Neodiprion lecontei: one gene and its partner. The protein of the gene in region 2 interacts with the protein of the main gene of each other region in a biochemical or structural test. Links are inferred from orthologs where the notes say so. Each region holds a gene or a part of one and is shown on either strand. Other genes may lie near its edges.

Region 1 (6,815 bases), on a different chromosome or scaffold from region 2:
TAATTTCAAAGGAGACGATTTCCCCCTGTTCTGAACAGGCTCCAAAACCTTTTCGTTCAGATTTTTGGGCTTATCTTTGAAGGACTTCACCTCGTTTTTTAAAACACTTTCAGAAGTGTTTCTTAAGTCTTTTCCAGGCCTGGTAAGACCAGATTCTTGATCCTTGTTGGCTGCAACTTTAGCCGGTATATCAGTGACGATTACTTTGTCTTCGATAATCGTTTGGTCGACTGGACTCTTGCATGATGATCCTGTGGGACTCGACCTCTGGACAGGGCTGATAGATTTCTGTGTTCCTGACGACCCCCAAGCTCTGCCGGGAGAAGTTTTTCTCACCTCCCAAGCCAGCGGCACACGCCTTAGTGGAGGCTGAGTGCTCTCATAGGCCCATTTTACTTTGAACCATTCTATCAGATTGTGAAAATCACGGGTGTAATTTTCAAGGACTAGTATTACCTCCTTGCACTCAGATATACTCTCATCCTCTTCACATGTCTGGTATATTCCATCTACAGCCCGCTGAAGATTGCCAAAGAGAAAGGCCCAGTATCTGGCCTGAAGTTCTGAAAAGAATTTGTAGAATGATGGATACATAAAGACACAATTGGTCACAAATAAGACAAATTGATAAAATCACGAAAAAAGTGACCTATGTAGTGAAAATAAGTGAGAAGCAAATCAAATGTTCATAGCATTGCCTGCAAATTAGTAAAAATAAGTCGAATGTTGACAACCAGTAACCCCTGATAAAAAAAATATTCAAAATGGCTCGATAAGAAAATCAGTCTCTTTCTGATTTCTTTCCAATCTATTTTTAGACAGTCGACCAACCCACCAGATTTTTTATCTCTTCCTGTTGATGCTGATCTTACTCTGGTTGTCGGTTTTGAACACCTTTTGGTCGGTGTTGGCTGAGAGATTTTTGGAATGCTTGGTGGTTTGCGAAGGACCTTTTCAGTGTTATTTGACACAACTGGGACGTTGAATGCTATCAAATTGCGAGCTGAACGACCTTCTTCTTGAATAAGGAGTCTGACATCAGCCATTCCTACCGTATATTATTAATACTCACGTACGTGAGAGTTTTAAATGATTTTCAAGAAATGAATTAGGGAGAAAAGCTGCTATGGTGACGTCCAATGTGCTGGAAAAGAAAATTCAATATGATTCATTTTAACAGAGCCGAAACTTGGGTTGGGAGATTCAATAAATTTTTAGATTTCAACGACCTGAGTGAAGATCAAAGTGCCCAGGTAATTAATTTTTATTGGCTAAATCATTCGATCAATAATAGCAATTTTAGTGCTGTCAAAAGATGAGAATTGGGGGCTCGTCTTGAAATTTGCAAGTATATTTCGATCATTTTTACAGGTTAGGTAGGCGATCAGCGAAAACAATAGATACCTATATCAAGCTGAATCACCGATTGACGAATTCTTATCATTTGTTAAATTAATTCGGTCATGCTGGTAAACAAATGATAACAAAAGGCATCGCGATCTTGATTCTTTGATAAAATCGGTATTAACGGCTGATAATATTATTATAATTAACTGCGTGTGAACGAGGCAGACGTCCGTGATGAAGTTTCACGTAAATTTGTATGTAAACATTGCGATGTTGATAATACGATACATGTGTGCACATACATTTCATCCATAGAAAGGAGCAGATACATACCAGAAAGATAAATTCTGACGCTCCGTTTAATCGAAATAGATCGGTGATACGTTTTATTTATTTATAACGACGGGTTAACGAGACGCGAGGACACGCTTGAAACAATGACATGACGTCTCCGTGCTCCTGACGCATTTGACTTTTGAAACGATAATGATGACAGGTCTGTGCTCTTCTGTTAATCGTTGTCGACAGAGTCACGCTCCGTAGAACAGAAAGGGATTTAACTTACCTACCTGACGACATTGGCTTGACACGAGCGGCAAGCTTGATCGGTATTACTAATTCAAATTAATTGAAATTAGAGGAGTCGTATAAGAATAATAGTAAACAAACATTACAAATTTTACGTGTATTTTCAACGTTGACAACTCTCTCGTTGATGCACGTTACGTTGTATCTTGGCTATACCATAAGTCAACGTTCCAAGTCGACGCGCTCGCTTTCGAAGTCTAAGCTCATGGAGACGAGAGACCTTAGCCTAGATTTTCACGGGTAGCAATATACAATATTATTTCGCGACCGAGTTTTCGACAAATAGGAATGTCAATAAAGCAGGGGCCTGATTCTGACTTATTTTGCACTTGTTAAAAGAAGATTTTCCGTTTAAAGCTGCCTTCTGACTGGTCTAGATAACGCTTCAGATCAGGTTACTCTACAATCCGTTTTGCGGCACTGTAGGGGTGCGCTCCGATAGCAGCCTGTGTGTCAACAATCCTTCATCTCTTTTGCGCTGCCAATTTTGGGTATAGCGCTGCCTCTGTACTAGAGAGTTTTTGGCGCTGCCAGATAATTTCGGAACGCATTCTAGGTAGCGCTTCTGCGACAGCATTCTGCTGTCCATGAAAATCCAGACACGCTGAAGTTCCGGACCGGCCGCATGTGTTGGGATGCCCTTGATTTGTGGCGTCAAGGGTAAATTTTTATTTTACGATCCAATTCATAAAAAAGTTGCACAAGTGAATGTAATAGCTCATAATATGCTGGTCAATTTTTGTCGATGATTAAGGTTAACCTGACTATCGCATTTGCCTAAAGCAAGCGAATGAAATTACAATCCGTGACGAAATTGGCGAGACTGAATAATATCATCCACCATTCCCGTTCCGCTCCACTGTCGCCACCTGCGTATGAGGAAGTTAACTATCGAAATTGCAAGAAACACAGAACCTAGCTGTGGATACACACACTTGATCGTGTTAAAAAATTAAATTAGTTTTCTTTTCATAATAGAAATCAAAGCCTAGGTACTAGTAGATTATCTAAAATTCTAATTTCACTATCCGGCTCGTGTTAACCTAATTTGTACTTAACCAAAAGGTGAAGAGCCTCGCTAGATATCGGCGAACGAGAATAGAAAATATAATACACGATTAAACCGCTAACTGGAAGTAGTACACCACCACCGAGGATCTTGCGAGAGCTGGCAGGCGATCACGAATACCCCCAGTAACAGTGACGGAGTACGCATACTGCCAGACCTTCGGGGTGACGCGGGCACATTTTTTTAAACCAAAATGTACGTACATTGTTACAGTTACTGTTCCGCAATGCAAACACCCATCGCTTGCCACAGCACGATCAACGGCTTCGATCTAATGTCGAAATTACTCGCCGCCCAATGATATACGCCTTTGTTTACTCGAATATAAGTGCCGTCATCCCGCTTTCGCGAGAGATTGCCGTACTTTTTTCCTTCCATTTTTACTCCTATTATGTCTCGTTTGATTTTTTGATCAGAGAATGAAAAGTTGATAACACAAATTCGTGATAACTATTTGTATATGTACGTATCATTGCTGTAGACTTTTGGCTTGACATATATGTACTTTGCATTTTGCTTTTGCTGTAAGGTTATTGACTGCCTGTTTATTCTTCGCTCCTTAGTTCGCTGACTTTGTCTGACACTGATTTCATATTGTCGTCGATCGTTTTTCTTACAGATTAATAATGGCGGACCTACCACGCCGTATAATAAAAGAGACGCAGAGATTGATGCAGGAGCCGGTCCCTGGCATCAGCGCTGTACCAGACGATGCAAACGCTAGATACTTTCACGTCATTGTAACAGGTCCCGAAGACTCACCGTTCGAAGGCGGACTGTTTAAACTAGAATTATTTTTACCAGAGGATTACCCTATGTCAGCCCCTAAAGTTAGATTTATTACTAAAATATATCATCCCAATATAGACAGGTATGCTACATCTACTATTATAATGTATTCTACAATGTAAACTGTTGAAAAAGCTGAACTGATAACTAAAACATTTGATTGTATTTGGTTTCATGTTACCAGATTGGGCAGAATCTGCCTGGATATATTGAAGGACAAATGGAGTCCTGCTCTTCAGATAAGGACAGTACTGCTATCAATACAGGCTCTCTTGAGTGCACCAAACCCTGATGATCCATTAGCAAACGATGTCGCCGAATTGTGGAAGATTAACGAAGGTGAAGCGATACGCAATGCCAAAGAATGGACCCGTAGATACGCCATGGACAACTGATCTCAGCCTGGTCCGTTATCGGAGCCTTCCTCTCGCACGCATGGCGCATGGCAAAAACACCAATGCCTCATCGTCCCCATCTTACGATCCTTGTTCCCGTTACCACCTTGTTCCTCCTAGACCTCGAACAAATTGCACCACCACCCTGTCACCTTCCTCCACCAGACTAACATACTATCTCAGTCCCCTGCTGTTGCCACTGATGCTGTTGTCGCTGCCGCTACTGCTGCTGCTGCTGCTACTGCTGCACCTCTGTCGAAAATTTTGCTATTTGAAAGAATAAAAGGTTTTTTCTAATAAAATTATACGTATTATAATTAAAATGACAGACTGCATTTTCTATTTTCGATATTATTCACACAGTTTCGACGTTTAAATTTATTTCCATTTTATTACCGTTTGTTTAATTTTTTTACTCTCTTGATTATGTATCCAAATTGAATAACGGCGGTGAAAATCAGAGCAATAGAGTTGCAAATTCACACAAATACTCGAAAAAAGACATCGGTTCTTTACGCTTTTTTTTATCTGAAAGAAAAATGTTTTTATCTCGACGATTCACAGAGTCGTTATTTTGAACTACGCTTCTAGTGACGTGTGAGAAGGTAGAATCCATAGATCGACTCTTCATATATGTGATACGAGTTTTTAGGAGAATGGCAGAGCTGCTGTATATTAACTGACTGGTTGAGCTCTCACAGATGTGGAATATAATAATACTCACTACGTGATTTTACCATATAACAACATAGAGATAATCGTCAGTTGGAATTTTTACTAGTATTTGGTACTGGCTAGCATTTTCATAGACTACTACTACTACTACTACTACTACTTCTACTACTACTACTACTACTACTACTACTACTACTACTACTACTACTACTACTACTACTACTACTACTACTACTACTACTACTACTACTACTACTACTACTACTACTACTACTACTACTACTACTACTACTACTACTACTACTACTACTACTACTACTACTACTACTACCATTACTACTAAATTGTTGGGATTTATGCAATTATTAGGGGTTTTTTATATATGTGTACGAATATTTATAAAGTACAACGAATGATAGTATCAATTGTATATACATACATAGTTCCCTATGGGGAAGAATTGTACGTATTTGTGACTGTTGCTGCCTTCTAGAAGTTAGCCACCACAGTTACGTGTAAAAATTATCAACTGCAGGATTTATTTATTGAAATAACATCTACTAGAAGCAAATTATTTTTATTTGATGTTTGGATAGATTTGAAGCATGTATCTTAAAATGAAAACAAAGAATATTACCAACTCAAGTGCAGAGACGTGTAATCTGAATAATCTGGTCATGCGATTAACCTGTGTTGTAAAGAATATCGAACTGAAATAAAACAGATTATAAATTACTAGCCGATAGTATGGTATACAGTAGCGAAGCCGTGATTATAGTATGTTATACATACATATATAGAGAGAAAGAGAGAATGATAGAGAGAGAAAGAGAAAGATAAGGATCATCGATCATTATTTAAGGAACTGCAAACGAAGATGTACTATATTTATGAACAATAAAATGATGATATGAACTGAATTATTTGGTTAAAGTATACTATACGTGAAAGTCGACGGACCTAGTAATGAAGTATACAATATTCCTTAATCTACATCCATATATTTGTGTATAATGATAATAATTATTACTTATGTGTGTATACGTATAATTTTCTTGAAGATGACAAGAAAATGAAATACTTCGTTTCTTAAACCGGAAGAAAAAGGAATCATTTGACTGGAAAATAAAGTGATGGCGGTAAGCTTATAAGCCGCCGGTGTGATGTTAACTCCGAGTGAGTGATTTCTTTGTACATATGAAGATATACACACACAGAGACTTCGGAATACGGATAAACAGACTTATATGCACACACGCTGTGTTACATTGTAATAATGATTATTGTAACTATTATGTATTAATAAACTAGGTTGTTTAAACAAAAATATTGTCTCATTGGATCAAACTCTCCTAAATTTCCGAGTTTTCTCAGGGAGAAATTTTTATTACCCACGATCAACTGGATTATTCAGATCAGGAAGATTTTTTTATCAAAAGGGGGTAGTTAAAGGGTTGATTTTGAATTGTGAGAAGGTGGTAGGGACAATGCCGTTGTAAAAAGAAATTCAATGAAATCCCAATTAAATTATAGGCAGTAAAATTCACGCATTACAAAGGAAAATCTTGATAAATGAACGTAATCCCAAGTCAAGCTTCACGAGGAAAATCCGTCTGTTGTACGAGAGATTTAATGAAACCTTTTTTCGCAACGCGTTTGGATGATCATTACGATCTTCATCCCTATAAAATATTTGAAATAATAAAGACCCTGCAATAGATTGTATGCAAATTTTAAAGTACGAATGGTCCATCGATTGTTAGAAAAAAAATGTTTGCAACAACGAAGCTAGCATAGATAAAATATGTACAAAGGAATGGATAGAATTTTGAATTTGAATTCAAAATTACAGTTTATTGTTATCTTTGTATGGACTAGTATAGTATAACCATATACACATTCAATAGCTCACTTATTTAATAGTTTTAATTTATATAATACACTCACAAACA
Region 2 (8,205 bases):
ACGAATGTTCGAAAACGGAAATTTCAAAATAATGAGAAAATCATTTAGAAATTCATGTGCACTTGAAAAAATCAGCGAATTCATTTCCTAAAAATTTGTTAAAACTTTTGGACATTATTATAATTCAAATTTAATTTTCATATCGTTTTTATTGTGGTTGATTTTTTCCGCTTTTCATCTTATCATAAAGAATTCAGTACTGTCGAGACTCACTTTTGGGTGGGAATGTATAGCCAGTACATTCTTAAAAATATTCACGCAGAGTAATTTGCTCGTACTTGTACCGAATGATTTACCCTTAACCACGATTTTTTTTCCACCATTTTCCGAAAGTAATCAATCTAAACAATAGAATGTAAACAATGATGATGGGAATCCGTACTTTATCTTTAAACTAATCATGTTTATTGTTTATCGTTCATCGAGGCTCGCGCGACAAATATAGAGCTCGAAGGTAGATGCTTATTTTAAAAAACACTGCAGGCTGCAGGAGAAGATAGTTTCCATTTTTAACGTGAAATATTCAAACTGTGTAGAAGACGCGCGCGTTTACTGTATGATTCCGGTCAAATATAACTAAGACTAAAAACTTTTAATTCTATCACTCCCACTCTCACAAACAAATCTCAACTTTAATGTTTGACTACACCGTAAACGTTTTACTTCACCCTTGTTCCTGTAATATTATACCTCAAATTTTTCAAATACGCACATTATAAATGTTAACGTAATTGTTATCGATAAAACCGAGACGACAGTATACGATAGTAAAGAGATGATTGTTACTGTTATAATGCAATTGAGGAGGCACACACACGTAAATTACAATAATTTTACGGTAGTTGAAGTCGGTAGTAATACCTACGTAAGTCGGAACAAAATCCGTCCATTTGAAAGAATGTCTGGCGAATTCTTGTCGCCTGTAAATAAGATACGGCTACGAATAGGATAATTATAGGTAATTAGCATAGGATTACAGAAGATTATCGTCTCCCAGGACAGCATTAAGGTAGTTCCTGCCATTTTCGTACACACAGACATGCGCCCCTCAAGTACACAAGCTTTGTTGGCGGTCTCTCTCACTCTCGTTGGCTCGCGTCGTACGTACCGTAAAATCCTCAACTTTGGATTAAAATTACTCTGAAACGGTACAGTGAAATATATATTACAATCAGCGAGGGAAGTTTTTGTCCGATGCTTTAACATACTCATTTTTCATTAAGATTCTCAGAGATAGGAAGTCAGGTGTAGATAATTGAAACTTTGACAATTAATATCTCGAGATTGATACGGTCAAGCTCACTCAATTTTGATAGCTGATGTAAAATACTGTTATGAAAGTGTGTACTTTTTTCTTAGAACGATTGTAAGAAAACTCATTTTGGGAGGAACTACCATAATAATATAAGCTATTATCGCGGTAAAGTCCTTATACTGTATAATTAAATACTCAGATACACACAGTGTATGTTTGCCTAAAGCTTAAGTAGTAACGGTAATATCCATATCCTAGAGACGCGAATTGTTAATTTGCCGCCTATCACTTTCCGATATACCTAGAAAATTTTTCAACATCGACTTACACAAATTTACTATAATGATAATAAAACCGTGAGTGTTCAGTGCTCTTATTTTTTATTACCATGTAAATATTGTACAGCCTGTAGGCGATTGAGAGGTTTCAGGTATAGAGGCATAAAGGGTGTATTCTGATGATAAAAATAAAAAATTGAAAAGAACAACAATTTATTTCACTACGTAGGTAAATACCTATCACAATTTTACCTGGCTTTCGAAGTTGCATTAACCTGATCCCATCACAGCATAAACAATTGCTGATATAAATAGTTTCAGAACATCATCCGAACCAATGACTTCCCATACAGTCTCTCGTCCATTCCGTCTGACAAACCCAGCACCACTGGAAACTACAGCCAGCTCTTGTACAAACCATGTGCATACAGCCACCTGCCAATCATTATTGTTCCCCAATCTCAATAGTTCATTATCATTTCCATATCCAAATTATGGCAAATATAACGGGCAAGCGAGTTAAAAACTCTTAATAAGGTAAGACTGAAAAATATACGTGAATAAGCTTACCATCTCGTTCAGTCGGTGTTCTACATTTCGGACATGGTTTCGTCGATATTTGAATGGTCTTCTTACTCGCTTCGTCCCACTTGGCCTGGAATTAAAATTAGGTTATCTGTGTGATTGTTTATCGATTCAAATAAGTAAATAAAAATAGTGTTACTTACCTCGCTAGCTCGCAGAGGATCAATTGCATAGCCTGAAAGACAGGAGACGGCGGAGGTAGAAGAATACGTCGTAGGCTGTTGTGAGTCACATTCACCTACGTGGAAACCTTGCAAGCATCGCCTACAGAAAACATACTATGGGAAAACACTGAATTATAGTGGTTTTTCAGCAGTGAGTAAGAGCTAAATGTCCTCGAGTACTGGCAACAATTTTATCACGTACCCCACAACCACCAATACATTGAATTCTACGACAGTCGTCCTCATCCGGGGATCGACTACGCTCCTCATCAGTCTGATCAGGTGGAATAATTCCCATTCCGCAATCAGGCCTCGGGCACAGAAGTCCTCCTGCCCTTAGAACGTATTCCTCAGTTCCAAATCGTTGGTACTGCTCATACTGTAATTTGAATTGCATTCATTCATTGGTAATCCAATGATATTTATGGAATGAGTGTGACGGTGAAAGTAGAAGAGGCCAATAATTTTAGGTACCGCTGTACCTGCTCAGGTGAGAGAAGACGGAAGTGATGAACTTCGGATATGTGCGAATTTTGGCAACCAGCCGGACATGGCAAGGTATAGTATCCGTGGTTGTCGTCAAACTCAAACTGACGATCCCGCAGACGAGCCACGCAATAGTCCCGGAAGCAGTCCAGGCAGGTTACATGTCCAGCCTCGCAAGGGAAAACCAGTACCGTGTCCCTGAAAAGTATTAACAAAGCTTGTATTAATTCTTCTTACGTTTACTTCTACACCAATTATTTATGTGCCAAATCAAAGCTTTACCTTGTATCCGTGCAAGCCAGACAAGGTACATTTCTCAGATTTGGTTTAATCAAATAAAGCGGTACCGCCTCATCTTTTTCTCCAAGACTCACGTGATTGGCGCACTTGAAATAAAACTGCGCGTATCTCACTTGAGGAGTACCTTCATCCTTCTGTGCTAAGGAAGACAGTAATGTCTGACAATCGTGATTCTCACAATGTACAGTTATTCTACGAGGCTGCTGCACGTCAGGCCAACACTGAGGGTCTCGATCCACAGTCACAGCCCCGCTACCACATGTCGCGCATCTCACTCTCAGCTTTCCTGCTTCCACTGATTTACATGGCAGCGAACAGTAAACGTAAAAATGGGCACGGGCTTGTTGCTGCTCTGTAAAATCATCACAACCACCAAATTCAAAAGAGTATTGTGATAATAATTACAGCTTAAAAACACTGCAGTGTAATTACGTAAACATATATTGACCAATTTTTTTGTTCCGTTCAACAAGAAATCTACTACTCGAGAATTCTATCGTCAAGACTTTAATCCTACAAAAGTCATTGCAATGGGGAAAACTAAATGTATGAATACCCTGCTCGCTGTGATTTTCATGACGGTCCGAATCCTCCAATGGTAAGTCGATCAAAGTTTCGTTCAGAGGTTTGCTTCCACTTTCATTTGCTTCCGATCCTTCATCTATAGATTCTTCGATAAGATTTTTAGTATCTTTTTTTCTATTAAGGCGATTTTTTCCGGGTGGCAATTTTATGGCATGCAAAATACTTTGCTGACCAAGATCGCATTCCTAGACAACAGATAAAAATATTTACATTTCAGATTAGAATTGAGGTTAGGTAGAAAAACACAATTGTTAATAACTAAATTTTGTACCGTAATAAAACGACACTTTACTGCTGATTATACGATTGTTAACATACCTCTATTATCGTGGAATTGTGCAACTCTTTACCAGCAAATATGATCTTGATATCTTCGGGAGATATGCCAAGCTGAGGCCCGACGATCTCTTTTAGGTTTCTGATGTCCCATTTCGGATCCAAATCAATGGAGAGCGTATTTCCCGTGTTAGTTTTCACGTAGATACTCAACGAGTTCGATATCTTTCGTTTTCCGAACCAAATCAACTGCAACATTCTCAAAAAGGCACCCTTCAGAAGATTGAACAGAAAACTCATTATAGAGTCTTTAATATCGAAGCAGTTCTACGTAGAATTTTGCTTTACGGTAACACCAAATGTTATCGCGATAAATGTGGAGGAGTACATGTTTGCATATGAAGCGTATTTTCTGCGTCAAATACGTATATTTTACAACCTTCAAAAAATCATTTCGAACCATTCGAACCCAAATTAGGTGCGAGATATATTCTAGTCAGACGCAGAGTGCAGCACTTGACTGTTGGGGCTGATAAAGGACATATTCTATTCGCCATCTTTTGAAAATGAAATGGTTGAAAGACTCACCTGATTGGTCAATATTCGAATATCAGCCAACCGGCTGCTTTTTCCAAAGCTTTCATTTTCAAAACGTGACAAATAAAATGCACCCAATATTTCACGCAGCATCGATTCAAATCAGGTAGCTCAGACCTGTACAGATGAATATTTATATACCGATCTGTTACTAGCCAAAGTATATACTATGTACGTTACCTTAATTATTCGATTGAATTATGAATTTGCAATCAATTCTTCCCCATGCGGGAGTTTTAACAATATTTGAGTTTCGTGCCGATCCCGTGAGCAAATAAAACGCTAGTATAACGGTAGCAACCCACTGAATTTCGGTTGTTTCGGTCAAAGAGGATAGTTTCAATCACGGTTTCAATGCCGAGTAGGCACTGAACTCTGTAATATATTTCGTCTCTACGTTTCTTGGCTTCATAATTATCATCCGATAGCATTGTTTTGGTAAAATAAAGTTCAAAATTTCCACCAGTGAAGATATGAAAATAGCGAAACCTCAATCAGATGTGATTGAAAAGAACCAAAAGTGGTGGCTGCGCTTTGTCCCTGATGCCAAAAAGTGGACCGATGTGAACATTTTAAGGTTTTTAAGCATCTACAAAGTTCATCCTATATTATGGGACCCTACGCATTCATTTTACAAAGATCGATCGAGAAGGATGAAGGCGTACGGTATAATAGCTAGGAGATTGAACTTGCTTGGTGTGAGTGAAAGAGAATGTATCAGATTAATGGAATCTCTGAAAGCCATGTACGCAGAAGAGATGAGGAAACAGATGATCGAAAAAAGATGCAGTCGAAAATATGTGTTTCCGTCAACCTGGTATCGCATTCTTGAAGAGATGATAGAATCTGTTCAAACAAAGTTAGCACAATCATCCGACAAGGGTCAGTAAAAATTACGTTGTCTGCTTCTAAGGTTGTGTGAAAGTAACAAAAAAAAAACTTCTTTCAAGTCTCCTCAGTAAAAGCAGAACCTGCAAAACCATGGCAAGCCTGCTGCCCAAGATTATACACCGAAGATATTTGGACACCGGAGCATTTCAAAACAAACGTCATGAATTGGTTTCTCGCACCGCAAGACCAGCAACTATTTTGCACCTGTCAACATTTTTCCGAAACAACTGTCGACAATAAATCAGACACAGAAAAGAGCTCCGATAATTCAGATTCTGTGTGCAATTCTAGTAACGGAATAAATCCATCAGATTCTTCTGATACGTGCTGTCCCAAGATTTGTGGAGGTAAGATAATCAAATTACTTACGCAAGCGAACGCTGTAGGGTTGAGAAATAATGCTTAATGTTTGATAGAAAATCCAAGCAATCATCACAGTAAAATTCTATGTTGCATAGATTCATTGTACAGCAAAGAAGAGGATAGCGACGTCAGTGTGGATTTGCTGTCATGTTGCGGACAAAATGATAACAGTAATTATCGGTATAAATATGGCAAGAAATCCACAAAATGTAAATCAAAGAAGCAGCACCGATGTATCAAGGAAGATGGAGGTTTATGTGAAGACAATTCATCCTATACGACAATTTGTCAAGAAAAATTGAACGTTTGTGGGAACGAACCTGCAGAGAAACCGTCTACTGAAATTTCGACGTGTCCAAAGAATAAGTTAGTCGATATTCCACTAAAGAATTTAATCTCCAAGGGTCTCTAGTCTAACTGATTAATTTACGATATTCGAGTTCCCCACGGAGATGCAAAAATATTTGTGTATTGGTTTTTTAGTAACGCACTTTGTGACAGTACAAATGTCTGCGGTAATGGATATCAGGACAAACCTTCACTCTGCGGAGGTGAATCGGAAATTAGTAAAGACTCACCAATGCGATGTGACTTGCAAAGTAGCACAGATAAATTCTCTCCCCATGATCCATCACAAATGTCATTCGAAACACCGATGATCCGCCCTTGTGGGCCTAGGCATGTTCTGGATTTCTGCTCCAGTCAAAGTCTTAGTGATGACAGTAAAGGAAGTGAATTGTCGACAAAACGTGAGACCTCAACCACAACGCAATCAAACGATACTTGTCTCTCAGACAGCGGTAAATTATCATCCTCGTTATCAAACAGTTCCGAACAAACCTCCTCAGTAGATTCAAACTGTAAGCCGATATGTGTAAAAGAAGAATCAGATCACAGATTGGATTATCATGTAAGTAGAATTGACTTGTGCATCAAAAATGTAATGCTTTTATAATCTCACTCGAACTACAATTTGCTTTATTGCCTGCATTATTTCACAGCCCGACCCAACTCTGTGTGAGAAATGCGCAGCGGACAGAGTTCCTGTACCAGCAGTGCATAAGAACGTTTTATTTTTCCAAGACCCTGGAATGCCAGAGCTGGATAAGTACTGTCGCTATAAAGACTGGGACCAGATATACAATATCAGAACTCAAGTTCCCGACGAAGAACCAAATATTCAGATAGACACGGACTGGTTACTCATGATGCAGAGTAAAGACGAACCGTCAAAACCAAAGAGAGACAATCATTTGCACACCCAAGCAGATGTACACCTATTTATAGATCCAGAATCGTCTGAAGCTAGACAAGTGAGTTTGAATAATGAATATAAGCATGAATATGGATTAAATATTCGAATCAAGCAGCCTGGGCATTACGCCTGCAAAGTCCCTGATGCACCAGGTGATAAGCCTGCACAGCTTATGTTGTGAATGGGGAAAATTCGGGAAGTACAAAAAGCTTTCGGTGTTATTTTCATGATGCTTAGGTAACTTTTAGTCTGTATTCGCGAGCTTTCAATGACTGAGGTATGGAATATAAATATTTAATAAAGAAGTTGGTATAGTAAGTTGACGGGTTTAAAAGAACTTAAATTTTTCAGCTGTACTAGCTCTTAGCCTTTATAAGGTTTTACCAAGAGCCTCTTTTTATTTTTATTTCTTGATGCATAAATTTTCATTCTCAACACACTGTGCACTAACATACAATTCACACTGTATTTGAAAATATGTTCGATGCGTTAGGATCATTAATATAGATTCATTATAACGCAGTTATTACATTTACCCAAAACAAATGGGCAGTCAAAAATCGATAATTTCTCAATCATACGTCATATTTATGAACATGAGCTTAGATGTACGAAAAAAAAAAAAATCACCATAAAAATGATGAAGAGTTACAATTTTATAGTTTTAAGAATCGAAATATTTTTTATACATCATTCATTTCATGCGCTCTCTACAAAACAGCACCCACTGCGTTATTGGTAGATCAAAATTGAAGCGCATAAAATAAAATAATGATTAAAGTGTGAATAAATATACATAGTTATACACATGCGTACATATAACATATATTGAAGTGTGCACTTCAGTTATAATTTTCAAATATACTCAAATTCATTGCATGAAATTGATAAAATTAATAAAATTCGAATCACTTGATATGATAAACTTCAATATTTACAATAGTTAATACATTATGTTTTTTTCCAATTCTAAACTGACATCGGGCGATTTAATAAATAATGGGCACCGCCACTCGCACTTAGCAGCTATTGAGACCAAAAATAAATGTTATTTAGCATCGTGAGCAGGGAACGTGGTTTGAATGATATTTGTACAATTTTATGGTGTGATAAATGATGAACAACAGTATGATTTTAATACATAAAAATTTGGTCGTGATATTTAACGGT

The links. The genes of interacting proteins can lie anywhere in the genome.
Region 1: the proteins of E3 ubiquitin-protein ligase parkin (region 2) and ubiquitin-conjugating enzyme E2 N form a complex in vitro, tested with the Homo sapiens proteins (6 studies listed by BioGRID). The link is inferred for Neodiprion lecontei from reciprocal best matches to the Homo sapiens genes PRKN and UBE2N.

The regions. Positions count from the first base shown.
Region 1 is NC_060264.1:30,169,286-30,176,100, reverse strand, and holds ubiquitin-conjugating enzyme E2 N, read left to right. Parts: upstream 1-2,547; 5' UTR 2,548-2,560; coding exon 2,561-2,595; intron 2,596-2,667; exon of another isoform or gene 2,668-3,199; intron 3,200-3,239; exon of another isoform or gene 3,240-3,466; intron 3,467-3,623; coding exon 3,624-3,875; intron 3,876-3,977; coding exon 3,978-4,188; 3' UTR 4,189-4,490; downstream 4,491-6,815. Other genes in the region: S phase cyclin A-associated protein in the endoplasmic reticulum, read right to left, coding at 1-563, 836-1,046. UniProt on the Homo sapiens protein: The UBE2V1-UBE2N and UBE2V2-UBE2N heterodimers catalyze the synthesis of non-canonical 'Lys-63'-linked polyubiquitin chains. This type of polyubiquitination does not lead to protein degradation by the proteasome.
Region 2 is NC_060260.1:36,825,862-36,834,066, forward strand, and holds E3 ubiquitin-protein ligase parkin, read right to left. Parts: upstream 4,439-8,205; 5' UTR 4,230-4,438; coding exon 3,972-4,229; intron 3,839-3,971; coding exon 3,625-3,838; intron 3,421-3,624; coding exon 3,051-3,420; intron 2,967-3,050; coding exon 2,765-2,966; intron 2,662-2,764; coding exon 2,485-2,661; intron 2,397-2,484; coding exon 2,262-2,396; intron 2,189-2,261; coding exon 2,104-2,188; intron 1,969-2,103; coding exon 1,859-1,968; 3' UTR 1,730-1,858; downstream 1-1,729. UniProt on the Homo sapiens protein: Functions within a multiprotein E3 ubiquitin ligase complex, catalyzing the covalent attachment of ubiquitin moieties onto substrate proteins. Substrates include SYT11 and VDAC1.